2 linked regions of the Macaca fascicularis genome follow. The main gene of each other region encodes a partner of the protein of the gene in region 2 in a complex. Links are inferred from orthologs where the notes say so. Each region holds a gene or a part of one and is shown on either strand. Other genes may lie near its edges.

The links.
Region 1: ING5 (region 2) and BRPF3 share a complex: the UniProt entries of both Homo sapiens proteins name them as parts of the MOZ/MORF complex. The link is inferred for Macaca fascicularis from reciprocal best matches to the Homo sapiens genes ING5 and BRPF3.

Annotation. Positions count from the first base shown.
Region 1 is NC_088378.1:135,455,460-135,466,093, reverse strand, and holds part of BRPF3 (bromodomain and PHD finger-containing protein 3), read left to right. Parts: intron 1-2,296; coding exon 2,297-2,425; intron 2,426-2,710; exon of another isoform or gene 2,711-2,725; coding exon 2,726-3,038; intron 3,039-3,611; coding exon of another isoform or gene 3,612-3,640; exon of another isoform or gene 3,641-3,761; intron 3,762-3,767; coding exon 3,768-4,070; intron 4,071-6,131; exon of another isoform or gene 6,132-6,151; coding exon 6,152-6,658; intron 6,659-10,024; coding exon 10,025-10,118; intron 10,119-10,634. UniProt on the Homo sapiens protein: Scaffold subunit of various histone acetyltransferase (HAT) complexes, such as the MOZ/MORF and HBO1 complexes, which have a histone H3 acetyltransferase activity.
Region 2 is NC_088386.1:137,646,001-137,656,634, reverse strand, and holds part of ING5 (inhibitor of growth protein 5), read right to left. Parts: intron 7,269-10,634; coding exon 7,102-7,268; intron 5,294-7,101; coding exon 5,182-5,293; intron 4,700-5,181; coding exon 4,606-4,699; intron 1,698-4,605; coding exon of another isoform or gene 1,692-1,697; intron 1-1,691. UniProt on the Homo sapiens protein: Component of the HBO1 complex, which specifically mediates acetylation of histone H3 at 'Lys-14' (H3K14ac) and, to a lower extent, acetylation of histone H4. Component of the MOZ/MORF complex which has a histone H3 acetyltransferase activity.

The DNA.
Region 1 (10,634 bases), on a different chromosome or scaffold from region 2:
AGTTCAAGGTCACTTTCTCCCACTATCAGTCTAGTATTGGGAAATCTGGGAGCCCCTGCCTTATGCTAGCTTGCTTTCTCCCCTCCCTACCCAGGATTGTAGGCTCCAAGAGCTGCCTACTTTGTATTAGCTGTGGTGCTACTGGTGGTTTCTATATTTTGGGTTTCAGCTCCTGGTAGCCTCAAGCATAAGCTTAATATCATATATATGCCTGGGCCCGTCCCTGGAATTTCTGATTCAGGAAGTCTCAGAGGGAGCCTGGCCTTGAGGATTTTGGAAAGCTTCTTAGGCCATTCTAATGGGCATCATCAGTTGAAAGCCTCTGGCCTGGGAACTTCTGAGGGTTCCCACTTGACTCTTAAACACTTATGGTCTTGAATCATTTAAATTTTCTATTTATCCTCCGTTCTAGGAGATTTTAAGCCCCTGAGCATAGGAAATGTTGAGGTAGGTAGTGTAATATAGTGGTTTAGGAACATGAGCTATGGCACCAGACTTCCTGGGTTTAAATCCTGCCTCTTCTACTTACTACCTATGTGACGTTAAGCAAGTTCTTCAATCGCTTAATACATCGGTTTTCTCACCTGGAATATGGGGGTAATTATAGAGCCTACATCATAAGGTTGTTTTGAGGATTAGAAGACTTAGTCTATGTAAAGAGTTTAGAACAGTGCCTGGCACATAGTGACAGAGAAGTGTCAGCTGCTGTCATTATTATTATTATCAATTTTTTGCTTCCCTGCAGTGTCTACTGCACATGGCAGAGAGCAAATACTATTAATTGAGTAGATGAAAAGCCAAAACTGTTCTCTCTGGGCTAGGAATAGCAGCTGTCGCTCACATGCTTCAGAGGCCCGGGTTAAAGATGTTCCTTTCTTGCCGGGCACAGTGGCTCATGCCTGTAATCCCAGCACTTAGGGAAGCAGAAGCAGGAGGATAGGTCGAGTCCAGGAGTTTGAGACGAACCTGGGCAACAAAGCAAGACCTGTTCTCCATAAAAAGGGAGGAAAAAAAAAAGATGTTTCTTTCTCTTTCTCCAAATTCTAATTCATTGTTCAGCCTTAGCACAACCCCTTTTCTAGCAGGCCAGTAGCCTGAGTTTCCTCCTCATAGCCTGGGCATCTCATGCCATATTTACCATGGGTGGCCATGGAGGACATCTCAGGACCTTCTTCAAGGGTTCAAAATGTCTGTGCTATCCCAGGCATGATCCCACAGCTGAACTTCTTATCTCATCTCTGATTCAGAGAAATGAGAGAGAGAAAAAGGCCCTGGTCCTGGGGAAGTAGGCAGGCCTGTTTTGATATAGCCAAAAGGTGGGAATTTTCTATAGTCTTAATTTGTGGCTTCCCAACTTTTCACATTGGGGCATATGTAGAAAATAGCATTTGTACAGCATACTACTGTAAATATATGAAGCTACTTGCCACTTGTGGGGGTAAACCTGGAGGCCCTGGTGACCCCATGCTGACCCAGATGCTCCAAGGGCTGATGGAATCAGTACCTCAGCACACTGAATGGGAAATTCTGATTCAAGCACATTTTACATCATCATTGTGTCCCTTGGACTAGTCAGACTTGGGTTCAAATCCTATCTCTATTCTTTTCTAGCCAGATAACCTTAGAGTAATAACTCTTGCATCATGCTCTCTCTAATCCTCAGATTCCGTATATATATTTTTTTAATTTGTATTTTTTTTCTTTTAGTCCTTGGTGATCCTTGTTCTGATCTATATTTGTAAAATGGGGATAATAATTTCTGTTTCAGGGTTATCGTGATGATTAATAGAGGTAATACAAGTACAGAGTTAGTGTGGCATAATGGTCAAGAGCATTCACTGTGGAACCACTGTCTGGTACTGAATTCCAACTCCGTTCCTTATTAGCTATGACTTTAGGCCAGTTACTTAGTCGTTGTGTGCCTTAGTTTCCTCTTTGTAAAGTACCTCATCTGTTCCTACCTCATATACTCATTTATTTTACATAAAATGCTTAGAACATTACCTGGCATTTAGTAAGGGCTATAGAAGTGTTAATTATTGTAATTGTAATGATAATTATTATTACTGTAAATTTTAGTATGGTGTTTGGTACATAGGAAACAATCATAAAATAGTAGCTGTTGGTATCATTATTCCTAGGCTGAAGGTTGAGTGATAGCTCCTCATACTGGTCAGCTCAATATTCTATGAAAATTTGTTGTACATGATTGGTAAAAGTCAAGCTATCACGAAAAAGTTTCAGCACAGTTTTGCAGGAGATGTCCTGATCTGATCTCACCCCACCTTCCCCACAGGTCAAAGTCCAGCAGGCTGCCATGGAGCTGGAGTTGATGCCATTCAATGTTCTGTTGAGGACAACACTGGACCTGCTGCAGGAGAAGGATCCTGCACACATCTTCGCAGAACCAGTCAACTTGAGTGAGGCAAGTTCCCCCCACTTTCCAAGTAGTAAATTCTTCCTGAACTGGAACAGGGTCTGAGTAGGGTAGGAAGGAGTTGGGCCACAGGGTGTACAAAACCAGGGGTAGGAGGGTGGGTCTGGCAAAGCTAGTAGATTTGCCCTTGATGAGGGGTCAGCAGGCCAGGGTGGGCCAGGACCATAGGACTCTGAGTTAGCCTGGCTTGGCCAAATCAGAAACCGAGGAGGCCAAGAGTATTGGTGAAGGGTGTGCCTGTTTGGCTAGTAAATGGTTGTTGTAATTGTACAGGTTTTATATGTTTAGGTTCCAGATTACCTGGAATTCATATCCAAGCCAATGGATTTTTCTACTATGAGGCGGAAGCTGGAGTCCCACCTGTACCGCACCTTGGAGGAGTTTGAGGAGGACTTTAACCTTATAGTTACCAACTGCATGAAGTATAATGCTAAAGACACAATTTTCCACCGAGCAGCTGTCCGCCTGCGGGACCTGGGAGGGGCCATCCTACGGCATGCCCGGCGGCAGGCAGAGAACATCGGCTATGACCCCGAGAGGGGCACTCACCTGCCCGAGTCACCCAAATTGGAAGACTTTTACCGCTTCTCCTGGGAAGACGGTGAGAGGCCTGGATGGGTGGGGAGGAGAGGGGCCAGGAGGAGGCACAGGAACAGAGTCTACAGAGTGAGGGATCAGGGTGGTCTTTGGGACTATAGGTAGACTCCAGGAGCAAAGCTGAGGGTGAGCACAGACTGAGGTATACCTTTGTGGCTAGAATAGTTCTAAGGGTTAAAGTTTAACTAACGCACTCAGCACTTCTTAAGTGGTAGAAAAGGGGAATCAGGTACTAGTGGTCTGTTTGAAAAGCTTAAAGCCTCATCAGAGGTCTTCCTTTCTTGGATCCCCTCTGTATGGCATTGGAGCATGGGACAGGGAGAGTGCATTGCTGGTGTGTGTCTGGCTCATTCAGAAGATTGCAGGTGGAGGACCAGAAAAATGGAATTGCCTCTGAGCCCCACACGCTGCCTGTCCCTGCTCTCTGCTTCTCGATGGCAGCAGCCAGTCACTCAGGCCAGGGTATTGCCAAGCTGCCTCATGCCTGCTCCATGGAGCCCATAATCGTGACTGTGAACTGCTTCCTGCAGACGTTTCCCAGATTCTGACCTTGTCCCTGTGGCTGCCTTCTGGGCAGTGGTGTTGCAGGGCCAAGGCCCACAGTGACGCTGCTGGAAGCTGCTGGCCCAGGCATTCCAAGAGAGAGTTTTGCATCCGAAGGATTCGGCCCCTTTCTCTTGCCCTGTGCTGGGCAGGTCCTTCAGCCCCTTCTGTCCTCCCTTCTCCCTGGCAGTGGACAACATCCTCATCCCAGAGAACCGGGCCCATTTGTCCCCAGAGGTGCAGCTGAAGGAGCTGCTGGAGAAACTGGACCTGGTGAGCGCCATGCGGTCCAGTGGGGCCCGCACCCGCCGTGTCCGCCTGCTACGCCGGGAGATCAATGCCCTTCGGCAGAAGCTGGCACAGCCACCACCACCACAGCCACCATCACTGAACAAGACAGTATCCAATGGGGAGCTGCCAGCAGGGCCCCAGGGGGATGCAGCTGTGCTGGAGCAGGCCTTGCAGGAGGAGCCAGAAGACGATGGGGACAGAGGTGAGAGATAGTCACAGGCAGGCAGGGGGTTGGAGGGTAAAGAGGGATAAAGGCTAAGCTGAAATCTAATAATGGGGTATCCTTTCCGAGTTTAGATCTGACACTTATGGGCAAGCAAAAGCCCTTGGAAGGGTCACATTTCCATGTATACGCAGGGATGATGTTCAAAATATTTAACAATCAATAGAGACCAAAATTTATCCATCTCAGTAAATGTTGGCTGTTGTATTGGAGTGGGCTCCCAAAGGCTTCTGATGTGAATATTTAGTTGCTGGATTGTGGGGAGTTTCAGGTGCTGCAGCCCAGCAGCTGTTTATTAGCCAATTAAGTATGTCAGTATTTTGCACCTGATACAGCCATATTGTACATACCAGTTAAATATCAGCCTACCTTGTATCATCATGTGGAGAGACTCTTAGAGCAGGTTAGGTTGGGATGTGAGGGGATAGCAGAGAAGGAAAGACCCCGGGCTTTTGAGCCACCTCATGGTTTTTACCCCATTTGGCTGAATCTATAGGCCCATCTCAAGTAGAGAGGCCAGACTATAAAAGATAGTTGGTTTCCACAGATTTTCTTAATCTTGAGAAAAGACAAAAAAGAAGAAAAGACAGCTGGGGAAGTGATTCTCAGAAACCCAGGAACGTTATAAGCTAAGCTGCTTCTCATTCTTCCCCTTCATTGGGGATGGAATTGTCTCCCTCATACCTGCCTTTGGATCTGAGCCTACAGGTTGGGAGAGCCTGTCACACACACAGTTCAAAAGGTTGGAAGTTACTTCCAATGGATAGGGGCCCAGATTGTAGGTAACAGCCCATTTTATTTCAGGTTGGCAGAGAATGGGGACATGGTTGAGAGATCACATTTGACATCAGAGGGCTTTGTGTCCGTTGTGATTCCTCTGGACTCCCCATGTGACAGTCAGCATGCCACTTGTATCCCTACTTCTGGGGCTGTGGCAGTGCAGAGTTGTGCCCAGTAGGCCAACAGCATCGCCTAGAAAATTAAAAAAAAAAAAAAACAAACATGTCGTAGCCTCACCTCCCATAGATTCAGTTAGGGATGTCTGGGCTTTGGCTTGGAAGTCTCAATTTTTAAAAGTTTCAAGGTGGTAGGTGAGCAGACATGTTTGGCAACCACTGATTTAACTTACTTGGTCTCTGTTTTTCACATTTTTGAACTTTTTCTGCATGCTGTACTTGCTGTCACTTGGGTGATGTGAAATAAACTCGAAAGACAGATGAGAAAACTCTTGAGTCCAGTGAGAATTGTAGATACCTAATCTGTCAAGCTGAGACTTACCTATTTATTGATTAAGCATGTGACTTTCTTGGGTGTAGAGCAATGGTTTGCAATCCTCACTTCATTAGACTCACCTGGTAAGCTTTAAAAAACAAATAGCCTATCTTTACAAATTTGGTTTCAGTTGGTATGGGATGGAGCCTAGGCACTGGAATTTTTAAGAAACTTCCTATGTGATTCTTATACATAGCCAGGGTTAAGAACTACTAGTGTAGATAAAACTTACTTCTTCTGGGGTTGGGTACAGTGGCTCATCGCTGTGATCCCAGCACTTTGGGAGGCAGAGGCAGGGGGATTGTTTGAGACCAGGAATTTGAGACCAGCCTGGGTAACATACTAAGACTCTGTTTCTACAAAAATTTTTTTAAAAAATTAGCCAGGCGTGGTGGTGTGTACTTGTAGATCTAGCTACTTTGGAGGCTGAGGCAGGATCATCACTTGAGCCCAGGAGTTTGCAGTTGCAGTGCTCTGTGATCAGACCACTGCACTCCAGCCTGCTCAACAGAGCAAGATCCTGTCTCTGAAAGAAAACAAACCTAATCCTCCTTTCTCTTTGCTTCAGATCTAAGACCTTGAATGCATCTCAAGCCTTGTAACAGCCCATGCTTTTGGTCCTTGGTTATCAGTGTCAGTATCTAGCCTGTTCAGATCTAAGACCTTGAATGCATCTCAAGCCTTGTAACAGCCCATGCTTTTGGTCCTTGGTTATCAGTGTCAGTATCTAGCCTGTAGGAGCAGACTCTTTCTAAAATGTTCAAGCAGGTTCTCTTTTTTTCTAATAGATGACTCCAAACTGCCTCCTCCACCAACCCTGGAGCCCACTGGGCCTGCACCTTCCTTGTCTGAGCAAGAATCCCCGCCGGAGCCCCCAACTCTGAAACCCATCAATGATAGCAAACCTCCAAGCCGGTTCCTAAAGCCCAGAAAGGTGGAAGAAGATGAGCTCTTGGAAAAATCACCGCTGCAGCTAGGGAGTGAGCCTTTGCAACGCTTGCTCAGTGACAATGGCATCAACAGACTATCCCTCATGGCCCCTGACACCCCGGGCGGTACCCCACTTAGTGGTGTGGGTCGCCGCACATCAGTCCTCTTCAAGAAGGCCAAGAATGGGGTTAAGCTACAGAGAAGCCCAGACAGGGCCCTGGAGAATGGCGAGGACCATGGTGTGGCAGGCTCTCCTGCCTCTCCAGCCAGCATCGAGGATGAGCGCCACTCCCGGAAGCGGCCAAGGAGCGGGAGCTGTAGTGAGAGCGAAGGGGAGAGGTCCCCCCAGCAGGAGGAAGAGACAGGTGACCCTGCCTGTGACTTCTCTTGATACTTCGCATCTGCTTTTCTGCTTTGCCTTGCCAATCAGCACCTTCCCCAATTGGCCATCTCTCTAATGGCCCCATTGGACAGCAATAGTAGCATTGAGGGCACCATAGCTCACAGTTGGGCCTGGCATGTGAGTAGCAGCCAGGGGAAATAGGCTTTGAGCAGGTATTTTCCAGAGAGCCAGATTGTGTCTGGGACTCTCATTGGCCCTGAGGGTAAAGCAATGTTGTATAAAGTAAAATGATTCCTACCTTCATTTCAGTTCATCAAATATTTGTGTCAGGCACTGTTCTAGGCATTGGGGGAAAAAATCAATGAACAAAACAGACAAAAATCTCCTCTCTTATGGGGGAATACATTAAAAGCAAATGAGTAAACTGTATCTTGTATTAGAAGCTTTGGAGAACGATCTAGCAGGGAAGGAATTCTAGGGTGGTCTTAGAGATGGTGGCCAGGTCTTCTAAAGAGGTAACGTTTGAGTAAAGATCTGAAGGAATTGAAGGCATGAGCTATTTGTATGTCTAGGGGAAGAACATTCCAAAAAGATAGACTAGAAAGTACACAGGCCCTGGAGGTGGGAACATGCCTGCATGTCTGAGGAACAGTGAGGGAACCAGTTTGGCTGCAGTAGAGGGGTTGGAGTGGGGTGAGGTGGTGATAGAGGTAGATAATGGAGGTTCCATCACTAAAGAGAATTCTTTTTTTTTTTTTTTTTTTTTAGTGGAGATAGGGTTTCACCTGTTGGCCAGGCTGGTCACCTTACCCCAAGTGATTTACCCACCTCAGCCTCCCAAAGTGATGGGATTACAGGCGTGAGCCACTGCGCCCCGCCTAAAGTGTTCTTAATATACATCCAGCAAGAGCAAGAGCTAGTCATGAGTAGGTGTGGGGAAGTAATAAAATAAGTCAGACTTAATTCCAGCTCTGGAAGGTTCACAGGCCATTGGGCAAATGAGTCTCTCAAAATGTAGAGAAATCACAGTGGTGAACAGTATGTTGTTATTTGTCAGGTGAGAGGTAGCATTGCTAGAGGTGTTCAGGGAATTTGAGCTGTAGGAGTTGGCCTGAGCTGGCCCTGTGGGATGAGGGCAGACTGGCAAGGAATGGTTATGAAGGCCTCAGGCCTGGGTCTGTGGGAACAAGGAGGAGGACAGAATCTCTGTGAGGGACAGCTTAGAGAGGGGCTTCCCAGAGCATCAGGAGCCAAGACTGGATGGGTAAGATGGGACTGAATGTGAAGGACTTTGAAGCCGGGCAGAGTACTTAGGTCTTGGTGGGTTAGGGAAGACCCACTTTCTTGGCAGGGAGGGCTGCTCTTGGCTTTTGCTTTTTGTGTCTCTCATGTACTTTTATGTGGTGACTTTGGACTGTGTGGCCAGCACTTGCTTTTCTGTGTTCTTGCCTGACATTTTGTTTTCAACAATACCTTCCCATCTCATCTGGCCAAAACTTTTCTGTGTCAGGGGAGTAAGTTGGTTTATAGAGGCAAGAGCCTAAGGCCTGAAGTTAGGCATACCTGTGCTCAAATCCCCAATTTCTTACTGGCTGTGTAACCACAGGAAAATTAGTTAACTTCTCTGAGCCTGTTTCCTTATTCCTAATAGGGGGTTTCTGATACGTACCTTTGCAGGGTTCTAAGAACTAGAAATACCCTTTATAAAGCACTTGGCATATAGCAGTAGATGGTAGCAGTTACTGTCATCCTCTCAGCTGAATCAGGCTTAGCCATACAGTGCTGAGAACACTGCATTAAAAGAATGAGAGATCCTGCTATTGGGAAGTAACTGTACATGAGGCCCATCCAACCTGAGGGGGCCTGTTGCTTGGAGATACTGCTAGAATCCTGTCTCTCTCTCACCATCCCAATTGCCTGGCACTCAGGAATACTTCTATACAATCTTAGTTGAATCTCACAAAAAGAGGTGTTGATCCTTTGTAAGTGAGGCACCCAAGACACAGATGGCTTCAGTGATTTAAATTGTGGTAATAATGTTAGAGGCAGAACCAGGTCACAGGATAGACATTGTGGCTCAGACACCTGCTCTTATAGAAGGGACTTGCCTCACAGTTTTCTAGTTAAGGTGTCTGTAATTTACAGCTTTCAAATCAGGTGCCTGGTCCATCTCCGCACACCTCTTGGCTCAGCTATTATAATTATAGGACTTTTAGTGTGGTTGGCAATTAGATAAAGGCCAGGCACAGTGGCTCATGCCTGTAATCCCAGCACTTTGGGAGGCTGAGGCAGAAGGATTACTTGAGCCCAGGAGCTCGAGACCAGCCTGAGCAATATGGCAAGACCCGGTTTCTACAAAGTTAAAAAGTTAGCTGCGCATAGGGTGCATGCCTGTGGTCACAGCTACTGAGGAGGTTGAGGCAGGGGATCACTGGAACCCAGGCTATTGAGGCCCCAGTGAGCCTTGTTTACACCACTGCACTCCAGCCTGGGCAACAGCGAGACCCTATCTCAAAAAAATAGAAAAATAAATGTGGATAGATAGGAGAGTAGAAGCCTTCACTTCAAGGTCACATACCTGGGATGACCAAATAGCCTTCATTCGCCTCTGAAGGACTCCCCACTGTAAACAGACCTTCTCTCATACATACTGAATAGTAAGTAAGGTATTATCTTCACTTCACAAAAGGAGAGGTCAAGAGACCTCAAAGAAAGAGAAAAGGAACCTGTGTTTCAGAGCCCAGCCTAGAACCCCAGGTTCTGACTCTCCCTGCCAGGAAGTTCTGGGCTGCTTTAGTTCTGCTGAAGAGTACCCCCATCCTCAATTTGGATTAGCCCTGCGAGGTATCTCAGGGTGTGGTTGACAAAGGGCCCTTATCCTTCTCTAGTCTCTCTTGACATCACCCCCAAAGAATCAAACTAGCTATTGCCAGCTATGTGAGGCATAGGTTATGTGAGTGTTTATCTGAAGAGGCAAGGTGGGTGGGCTCCTGAAAAAGGCAGAGATTACCTGATAATTGAGATTTGAAATTAGAAGCAAATCCAGGGACTTGTGAGCAAGCCAGGGTGGGAGAAGTCTTAGTATCTCCCTGTGTAGCCAAATGACAGTAGCTGAGTGAGCTGTGTGCTATGGTTTCCTTAAAGTAAAAGCAGAAGGATGGGAAGGAAATTGCAGTGTCTGCTCCTTGCCCTAGCCAGCAATATTTCCCCCCAAACTTTTGTCTTGATCATATCTTCTTTATCACCCAAGACCCATTTCTCACAGGGAAAGGAATAGCCATCCTCTCCACTCCTCACTGAGCCCTCCTGAGGTGGCTGCCTCACCCTGATAGCATGTGTTGGGAAGGGGGATTTCTGCACTCAGACTCACTATGTGTGTCCTTGGCAGGCATGACCAACGGCTTTGGAAAACACACCGAAAGCGGGTCTGACTCGGAATGTAGTTTGGGTCTCAGTGGTGGACTGGCATTTGAAGCTTGCAGGTAAGAACACATTTCCTAAAGCTTTGTCAGCAGCTCTGCCACCCCTCCTTTTACTCTCCATTCAGCTACAGGTTGAACCTCTTCCTGCTTACCTTTTTCTCTCCCCCAACTCCTGCTATTTCCTGAGGCCTCTTATCTGTAACTCTGGGATTTCCTAGGAAACAGGGTGACCCTTGACTCTCAGGTCTGATCTGAGAGAGGAAGAGTAGTGCTGATGCTTTACAGGGTTTGTGTGACTGAATTTGGACTCTAGAGGATAGGGAAAGCTAAATCTCGTATTGCTCAGTGAAATTAACATTTGAGCCAAAGTCCCCTGCTGCCCCTACACACATACTTAGACAACCCAGCCTGTTAAAGACTTGGTTTTGCTCTTTGCCTTTTGGGGTGTCATAGCCTCTTTATAGAGGTGTGGTGTAGGTATATGAAATGACCAAGTAGGAAATTTAGAATTGCCTTTTTTTTTTTTCTTTTGAGACGGACTCTGGCTCTGCCGCCCGGGTTGGAGTGGAGTGGCCC
Region 2 (10,634 bases):
GTTCCACGCAAAATATACACAAAAAATCACACCAAGACACATCATAACCAAACTGTTAAGAGCCAGTGACGATGAGAAATCTTAGAAGCAAAAAAAAAATCACCAAAAATAATTATTATCACTAATTTATCATCAGAATCAATGAAAGAAGAAAACGAGAGAACACCTTTAATGATTAAAAAAAAAGGTTAACCAAAAATTCTATATGCAGCAAAATAAAAGCATTTTCAGAGAAATAAAAACTTAAGAGAATTCATCACCATCAGCATACACATACCGTAAAAAATGTTAAAGTTCTTCAGTAGAGGAGAAATGACAACAGACAGAAATTTGCATCCACATAAAGAAATATACATAAGCAGAATATGCACGGAAAATAAATTTTTAAAGAAAGAAAATAAATATTAAGAAATAAAAGTTGGGCCAAGCTCAGTGGCTCATGCCTGTAATCCCACCACTTTGGGAGGCTGAGGCGAGAGGATCACTGGAGGCCAGGAGTTTGACATCAGCCTGGCCAACATGGCGAAACCCCGTCTCTACTAAAAATACAAAAATTAACCAGGTGTGGTGGCGCACGCCTGTAATCCCAGCTACTCAGGAGGCTGAGGCACGAGAATCACTTGAACCTGGGAAGTGGAGGTTGTAGTGAGCCGAGATCACGCCATTGCGAATTGCACTACAGCCGGGGCAACAGTGCGAAACTCCGTCTCAAAAAAAAAAAAAAAAACAAAGAAGTATAGCTAATAAGACAAGAGTGGGAAAAAAACCGGAATGCTAAAAAAATACTTGATTAGTCCAAAAGAAGACAGGAAAGGAACAGAAGGAACAAATAGAAAACTAATAGCAAGATGGTGAATCTAAATTCTACCATATCATTAATTATGTTAAATATGAATAGACCAAATATTGCAATGAAGGCTGGGTGCAGTGGCTCACGCCTGTAATCCCAGCACTTTACAGGGAGGGGAGGCCAAGGTGGACAGATCATTTGAGGTCAGGAGTTCGAGACCAGCCTGTCCGGCATGGTGAAATCCTGTCTCTACTAAAAATACAAAAATTAGCTGGCCTTCAAAGGATTTCAATTATATAATGTTCTTTGACTACAACAGAACTCAACTAAAAATTAAAATTAGAAAGGTATCTGAAAAATCCCAAATTATTTGGAAATTGAGACACATACTTCTACATAAGTTATAAGGCAAAGAAATAGCATGAAAAAAAAATGCGGCTGGGCGTGGTGGCTCACACCTGTAATCCCAGCACTTTGGGAGGCCAAGGCGGGTGGATCACGAGGTCAGGAGATTGAGACCCTCCTGGCTAACACGGTGAAACCCCGTTTCTACTAAAAATACAAAAAATTAGCCGAGGGTGGTGGTGGGCGCCTGTACTCCCAGCTACTCAGGAGGCTGAGGCAGGAGAAAGGCGTGAACCCGGGAGGTGGAGCTTGCAGCGAGCCGAGATCGCACTACTGCACTGCAGTCTGGGAGACACGGAGACTCTGTTTCAAAAAAAAAAAAAAAAAAAAATTCTAGGCGAGGTGTGGTGGCTCACGCCTGTAATGCCAGTATGTTGGGAGGCCAAGGCAGGTGGATCACCTGAGGTCAGGAGTTCAAGACCGGCCTGGCCAACATGGCAAAACTCTGTCTCTATTAAAAATACACACAAAAAAAATTAGCCAGGCATGGTGGTACATGCCTCTAATCCCAGCTACTCAGGAGGCTGAGGCAAGAGAATCGCTTGAACCCGGGAGGCAGAGGTTGCAGTAAGCCAAGATTGCACCACTGCACTCCAGCCTGGGCAACAGAGCAAGGCTCCGTCTCACGAAAAAAAAAAAAAAAAATTATATTCCAGCACTTTGGGAGGCCAACGTGGGTGGATCACTTGAGCTCAGGAGTTTGAGACCATCCTGCGCAACATGGCGAAACTCCATCTCTACCAAAAATATAAAAAATTAGCCAGGCATGGTGGCATGCACTTGTGGTCCCAGCTACTTGGAAGGCCAAAGTGGGAGGATATCTTGAGCCCAGGAGGTGAGGCTGCAGTGAGCCAAGATCATGCCACTGCACTCCAGCCTGGGTGACAGAGCGAGACCCTGTCTCAAAAAAAAAAAAAGATCAAGATAAAATGAGAGAAACATAAATTACCAATATCAGGACTGAAAGAGGGACCATCAACACAGACACTACATCCGAACCATAATAATGCAAAATTATTAACAACCTGATGTCAACAAAATCTGACAACTTACGTGAAACAAATTTCTTGAAAGACACAGATTTTGTCCAAAACTGACCCGAGAAGAAATAGAAAGCCTGAAAACTTCTATAGCTTTAAAGGAACTGAATGCAGCATCAAACTGTACATTTAGAACAACATTTCATTGCATGTAAATTATTCCTTAATAAAGTTAATTTAAAAAGTTAGAAAAACAGGACTAAACTATAATGTATAGTGTCTAGGAATGCACTATAAAACTATTAAAGAAACAAGGAAATAAACACTAGAAATCTGCATCATGTTTATTTGGGGACAGAAGGAGTTTATGATTTTAACAGGGCATATGGAAGGCCTTCCAACTGCAGCTAACCACTGACTAGGTGCTAGTTACAAAGACCTTCACTTTACGGAAATTAATTAAACCATGTTTGTTCTGTGCGGTTTTCTGTATCTGTGCGCTACTTTACAAGACAAGAATATAGGGATTTTTTTTTTTTTTGAGATGGAGTTTCGCTCTGTCGCCCAGGCTGGGGTACAGTGGCGCGATCTTGACTCACTGCAACCTCCACCTCCCAGGTTCAAGCAATCTCCCTGCACCAGCCTCCCAAGTAGCTGGGATTACAGGCAGATGCCACCACCCAGCTAAGTATTTTGCATTTTTGGTAGAGACAGGGTTTCACGGTGTTGCTCAGGCTGGTCCTGAACTCCTGACCTCAGGTGATTAACCCGCCTTGGCCTCCCAAAGTGCTGCAATTATAGGCGTGTGCCACTGCGCCTGGCCAAAAGGCTAAGCACTAGATTTCAAAACTGAAAATTGCAGCAGGGCACAGTGGCTCACACCTGTAATCCCAACACTTTGGGAGGACAAGGCAGGTGGATCACGAGGTCAGGAGATCAAGACCATCCTGGCTAACGAGGTGAAACCTCATCTCTACTAAAAATACAAAAAATTAGCTGGATGTGGTGGCATGCACCTGTAGTCCCAGCTACTCAGGAGGCTCAGGCAGGAGAACTGGTTGAACCTGGGAGGCAGAGGTTGCAGTGAACCAAGATTGTGCCACTGCACTCCAGCCTGAGTGACAGAGTGAGACTCCATCTCAAAAAAAAAAAAAAAACCTGAAAATTGGGCCGGGTGCAGTGGCTCACGCCTGTAATCCCAGCACTTTGGGAGGCTGAGGCGGGTGGATCACCTGAGGTCAGGAGTTCGAAACCAGCCTGGCTAACATGGTGAAACCCCATTTCTACTAAAAATACAAAAAAGTAGCTGGGCATGGTAGTGCATGCTTGTAGTCCCAGCTATCCAGGAGGGTGAGGCAGGAGAATTGTGCCATTGCACTCCAGCCTGGGCATCAAGAGTGAAACCCTGTCTCAAAAAAAACAAAAAACAAAAAACAAAAAAACTGAAAATGGTGCCTTTTTTGTCATGAAGAACTCTTTTTTTTTTTTTTTTTGAGACAGAATCTCACGCTGTGGACCAGGCTGGAGTGCAGTGGTGCGATCATGGCTCACGATCCTCCCAGCTCAGTTTCCCTTAGTAGCTGGGACTACAGCCCACGCCACTACACTCACCTAATTTTTTCTATTTTTTGTAGAGATGGGGGTCTCACTTTGTTGCCCAGACTGGTCTCAGATTCCTGGGCTCAAGTGATCCTCCCGCCTTGGCCTTCGAAAGTGCTGGAATTATAGGCATGAGCCACCATGCCCAAAACTGACACTCTTTGACCACTCCCCACCAGAATCATCTCCATAGAGGCTTTGTGGCATTTCAGCATTTTCTCTTTAGTCTAAATGTCACTCCTCCGAGGTAATGCTCTGATCTCTTTGGAGGGTACACAATACCTTTGGCAGGGAGGGTGTCAGTGGGAGAATGCTTTAAATAAAGTATCTCAAAGAACTTCAAGTTAAATGACATGTCTATTTAATAAATGTGGCCACATAATTTAACAATGAATATATGCAAACTATATACTGACACATAAAATAACTGACAGATACACAGAAATCTAGCTACTTGAAGAGTGGTTTACATTGGCCTCTGTCAACAACACGCTCACCAACCTACTGTCCCTAGCGGGGCAGCACACACCGTGGCTAAGAAGACAGGCACTGGAGTCAGACTCCAGGTGCAGGCCCAGCCACACCACAGCAGCTCTAACGCCTGGGCAGGTCCCTGCGACACGGAAAATGCCCAACAACGGCACCCCCTCCATGGCTGCGGTGAGGACGGGCTGATGACAGGCACACAGCATAAGAACCAGAAGAACCCGAATGCTACCCAGCACACGGAGTGCACTTCACTCAAGGGTCAGCTTCCATCAGTGTTTCTACATCCGGGATACTGGCTATGGGTATTTGTTCTTCTGGGAAAAAGAGGGGAAAGCCTCTTACCCTCCTTTATGCTTCTTTTTCTTTGGTGTATCTTCCTCTGATGTCCTCCTGCCTCGGCCCCGGGACCCTCTTTTTTCTTTCTGACCCCGGCCTTCTGAAAAACAATCAAGATGAAAATTATTTTTATAGAATTCGCTAAAGCAAGGCAAGTTTTGTGTTTTGTTTTTAAGAAGGAGTCTCGCTCTGTCTCCCAGGCTGGCTGGAGTGCAATGGAACAATCATAGCTCACCGCAGCCTTGACCTCCCAGGCTCAAGCAATCCACCCACCTCAGCCTCCCAAGTAGCTGGGACCACAGGTGTGCACCACTACACCCGGCTAATTTTTAACTTTTTTGTTGAGATGAGGTCTCACTATGTTGCCCAGGTTGGTCTCAAACTCCCAGCCTCAAGCAATCCTCCTGCCTTGGCCTCCCAAAGTGCTGGGGTTACAGGCGTGAGCCACTGTGCCCAGCTTGCAAGACAAGGTTTACCCAAATATGATACTTACCCTAGTGATCATACTTCAATGATTTACTGTGACAAAACTTCAAAACGCCATAGTTAACAGTAATAAAGAAAAAAATTTAACAGACTTGCTTTTTAACCCTCGCCCTCCGGAGCTTTCAAAATCACTGCCCTCCATCTTGTCCTTCAGATCTGCCTCAAAGCGCGCCAGGTCTGCGTCAAGCCTTCGAATGTGTTTATCCACCTACAAAAGGATACCCAAAGTCTTGTTTTAAAGTAAAACTGAAACACCTTAGAAATCACAAATGTACAAAAGTATCCACTAGGAAATGCCTTCTTGCCCTTTAATTGAGTCGTCAGTGAACAAACCTCTGCTAAATCCAGGCCCACTATTTCAAAGTCCATGCAAGGTCTTGTGCTTTTTCTGCATATTTTGACTGCAGTGGAATGAATCCCATTTAAGGAAAAGACAGGCGTGTGGGCAATAATGAGAAGCAGAGTTGTGAAATGCGGTGAACAAGGCCTGGGATATCTGACGCTGAATCCTACTTTAAAATGTGGCTACCTGGAGGCCAGGTGCAGCGGCTCACACCTGTAATCCCAGCACTTTGGGAGGTCGAGGCAGTCTGATCACCTGAGGTCAGGAGTTCGAAACCAGCCTGACCAACATGGTAAAATCCCGTCTCTAATAAAAATACAAAAATTAGGGCAGGCGCAGTGGCTCATGCCATAGCCCCAGCACTCTGTGAGGCCGAGGCGGGTGGATCATTTGAGGTCAGGAGTTCGAGACCAGCCTGGCCAACATGGCAAAACCCCATCTCTATTAAAAATACAGGCCAGGCACGGTGGCTCACACCTGTAATCCCAGCACTTTGGGAGGCTGAGACAGGAGGATCACCTGAGGTCAGGAGTTCGAGACCAGCTTGACCAACATGGAGCAACCCCATCTCTACCAAAAATACAAAATTAGCCGGGCTTGGTCGTGCGTGCCTATAACCCCAGCTACTCAGGAGGCTGAGGCAGGAGAATTGCTTCAACAAGGGAGGCGGAGGTTGTGGTGAGCCAAGATAGTGGCATTGCACTCCAGCCTGGGCAACAATAGCAAAGCTCTGTCTCAAAAAAAAAACAAAAACAAAAAACAAAAATTAGCCTGTTGGTAATGCCTGTAATCCCAGCTACTCAGAAGGCTGAGGCAGGAGAATCGCTTAAACCTGGGAAGTGGAAGTTGCAGTGAGCTGAGATCATGCCACTGCACTCCAGCCTGGGCAACAGAGCAAGACTGTCTCAAAAATAAAATAAAATAAAATAAAAAATAAGTAAAATAAAATAAAATATGGCCACCTGGAGGTTGGGCATGGTGGCTCATGCCTGTAATCCCAGCACTTTGGGAGGCTGAGGCGGGCGGATCACTTGAAGTCAGGAGTTCGAGACCAGTGTAGCCAACAGGGTGAAACCCCGTCTCTTCTAAAAATGTAAAAATTAGGTGGGGGTGGTGCTGCATGCCTGTAATCCCAGCTACTTGGGAGGCTAAGGCACGAGAATCACTTGACCCTGGGAGGCGGAGGTTGCACTGAGCTAAGATTACACCACTGTACCCCAGCCTGGACGACAAAGTGAGACTGTCTCAAAAAAAAAAAAAAAACCAAATGGTTCCTCCGAGCAGATACACAAACAAAAAGGGTCCAGAAAAAAAAAAAAAAAAAACAAGGATGGTCCCACATGAAGTGTATCTTGTCTGTATTTCCTCCAGCAGCGTCAGGCTACCAAAGCTAGCCTTCCACTTGGCTATGCCCATTTCTGGGCAGTTTTTACATTTTGTTGCATGAGAGGCAGTAGAGGTCGGAGGAAGACCCATGGCCCCCGCCCCGCCCTCACCATCTCATAGGTCTGCGGGTGCCGTGGCCCCCGCCCCGCCCTCACCATCTCATAGGTCTGCGGGTGCCGTGGCCCCCGCCCGCCCTCACCATCTCATAGGTCTGCGGGTGCCGTGGCCCCCGCCCGCCCTCACCATCTCATAGGTCTGCGGGTGCCGTGGCCCCCACCCACCCTCACCATCTCATAGGTCTGCATGGCCAGCTGCACTTTGTCATCGCTGTATTCCTTGCACTTGCTGTAGGCATTCTGGATCTTCTGCAGGCGCTCCACGCGCTGGTCTGGAGATAGCGTCTTCACCGTGGAGATGTACTCTGCAGCCAGGATGTCAATCTCTGCTTTCTTATCTGATGGAGAAATGGGGGAAAAGCTAGCCCTGCACAAGACACCACGATGGGCTCACTAGACCGGCAACAACTAAAGTCAGCCAACACCAAGTTGTGGCAAAGACGTAGGCTGACATGAACTCACGCCGTGCTGGTGGGAGTGCAAGTGGGCAGAACCGTTCTGCACAAACAGTCTGGGATCATGTGGATGTGCAGACTTTACGGCAGCGTGCCCAGAACAGTCCCAGTTCTGAATGTTACACAGCAGGTGGTCACAGTGCCCTCTTTGACTCTCAAACATCCTGTGTGAATAATTAATTATGTAGTCACCTTTCCTATGCCCTGGCATACTACTCTTTTTTTTGTTTTCTTTTTTTTTCGGTAGAGCAGTCAAGAAAGAACATACTACTCTTAAACACCCTAAAGAAACCTTATGTAACCTAAAGAAATACACGTGGGAAAACATTCATAAGAGCAGGAAACAGAAAACAACCCAAATGTCCAATCCTCAGTGAAATGGAGAAATCAGATGTGGTCCCTTCAGACAACAGAGTGCTACTCAGCAACAAATAGAGCAAACCACAGCTACACACAGCAACACGGATGATTCCCACAGAAGGTGACACAGAGCAAAAAGAGCAAGAAACAAAAGAAAACATACCGGATGATTCCATTAATACAAAGGGCAGAAACAGACACAGCTCGTAACTCTTTGGTTTAGAGAGGTAAGAAAACTACTGTTGAAGGCCGGGCGCGGTGGCTCACGCATGTAATCCCAGCACTTTGGGAGGCCAAAGCAGGTGGATCATGAGGTCAAGAGATGGAAACCATCCTGGCCAACGTGGTGAAACTCCGCCTCTTCTAAAAATACAAAAATTAGCTGGGCGTGGAGTTACGCGCCTATAGTCCCAGCTACTCAGGAGGCTGAGGCAGGAGAATCACTTAAACCCAGGAGGCAGAGGTTGCAGTGAGTCGAGATTGTGCCACTGCATTCCAGCCTGATGGCAGAGCGAGACTCCATTTCAGAAAAAAAAAAAAAAGAAAACTACTGTTAAAGGTGGAAGGTGACTATCACCAAACTCAAGATGGTCACCCCTTGGATGGATGGGTGTCATGACTAGGAGGGTCACAAAGGTCTTCAGGTGCTAAAGGGCTTGATTTCTCCATCTCAGTAGCAGAAAACAGAGAGGTTCACCTGGTAATATTTGTTAAGCAATCTATAAATGTTGTACCTCATTTCTGAATATATGTTACATTTTGCAATTAAATAACTCTCTATATTCCCTAGTCAAGATGCTGTACCTAAGCGAAAAAACACAGCTATCTCAGTCTTGCAAAACGTGTGCCTAGGCCGGGCACGGTGCTCATGGCTGTAATCCCAGCACTTTGGGAGGCTGAGGCGGGTAGATCACCTGAGGTCTGGAGTTCGAGACCAGTCTGACCAACATGGAGAAACCCCATGTCTACTTAAAATACAAAAAATTAGCAGGGTGTGGTGGCGCATGCCTGTAATCCCAGCTACTCAGGAGGCTGAGGCAGAATTGCTTGAACCCAGGAAGTGGAGGTTGTGGTGAGCCGAGATCGTGCCATTGCACTCCAGCGTGGACAGCAAGAGCGAAACTCCATCTCAAAAAAAAAAAAAAACAATGTGCCCAGCATAATGCATAAAAAATCTCAGGCCAGGCATGGTGCCTCACGCCTGTAATCCCAGCACTTTGGGAGGCCAAGGCGGGCAGATCACCTGAGGTCAGGAGTTCGAGACCAGCCTGACTAACATGAAGAAACCCCGTCTCTACTAAAAATACAAAATTAGTCAGGCATGGTGGCGCATGCCTGTAATCCCAACTGCTTGGGAGGCTGAGGCAGAAGAATCACTTGAACCCGGGAGGCAGAGGTTGTGGTGAGTCGAGATTGCGCCACTGCACTTCAGCCTGGGCAACAAGAGTGAAACTCCATCTCAAAAAAAAAAAATAAAAGACTCCCACACCAAAACACATTACCATGAAATTTAAAACTTCAGAGATACATCTCAAAAGCTTCTGAATAGGAATAACAACAACAAAAAAAGATCACACATATAAAGGACCAAGAATCCAAACAGCACCAGATTTTCTGCAGCAACGTGGAAGCGAGGAGACAAGGCAGCAATGCCGCCAACTTCCTGAGTGAAAACAATTGTCAACCTGGGATTCTATACCCAACCAAACTATCAACTGAGTATGACGCTAGAACAAACACATTTTTAGACATGTTACGTTACAAGAAAATCTACCTTCCTTTTTTTTCTTCTTTTTTTGAGATGTAGTTTTGCTCTTGTTGTCCAGGCTGGAGTGCAATGGTGTGATCTCGGCTCACCGCAACCTCCACCTCCCAGGTTCAAGTGATTTTCCTGCCTCAGCCTCCCAATTAGCTGGGATTACAGGCACGCGCCACCACACCCGGCTAATTTTGTATTTTTAGTAGAGACGGGGTTTCTCCATGTTGGTCAGGCTGGTCTCGAATTCCTGACCTCAGGTGATCTGCCCGCCTCGGCCTCCCAAAGTGCTGGGATTACAGGTGTGAGCCACCGTGCCCGGCCAAGAAAATCTACCTTCCTATGGGCCTTTTTTCAGGAACCTACCAGAGGAAAGGCTCTATCAAAACAGGAGAGCAAGTTAAAAAAAAAGAGGACATTTAAGATTCCAGGAAGAGGGTCCCACACTGAAGAGGGGTGAAAGGAGATCCCAGGAAAACCTCAGGGCAACAAGTGTGCAGTAGGCCTAGAAACAATCAGGACTGTGGCCTCCAGGACAGAGGGTTCCATGGAAAGAAAACACACACAGAACTGTCAGGGTAGACAGCCTGACACTCAGACCAAACGGAAAAGCCCAGCCTGGGAGACGAGGGTAGAATGCAGAAAAAAAAGCCAAGAAACAAGGCAACGAGTAACTCTAAGAAATACGCAAAGTTGGCAGGGCGCGGTGGCTCACGCCTGTAATCCCAGCACTTTGGGAGGCTGAGGCGGGTGGATCGTGAGGTCAGGAGATCGAGACCATCCTGGCTAACATGGTGAAACCCCATCTCCACTAAAAATACAAAAAAAAATTAGCCGGGCATGGTGGTGGGCACCTGTAGTCCCAGCTACTCAGAAGGCTGAGGCAGGAGAGTGGCCTGAACTTGGGAGGCGGAGCTTGCAGTGAGCCGAGTGAGCCACTGCACTCCAGCCTGGGGGACACAGCGAGACTCTGTCCCCAAAAAAACCAAACCAAAACAAAAAAAACAACAAAAGAAATACGCAGACTTATTCAAAAGGGGTCAAATATATAAGCACAGCAGGTGGCATGGCTCAGTGTTAAAGTACCTACACGGTTGCCCAATGGAAGTCCCATCACTGGTCTCACCACAAAT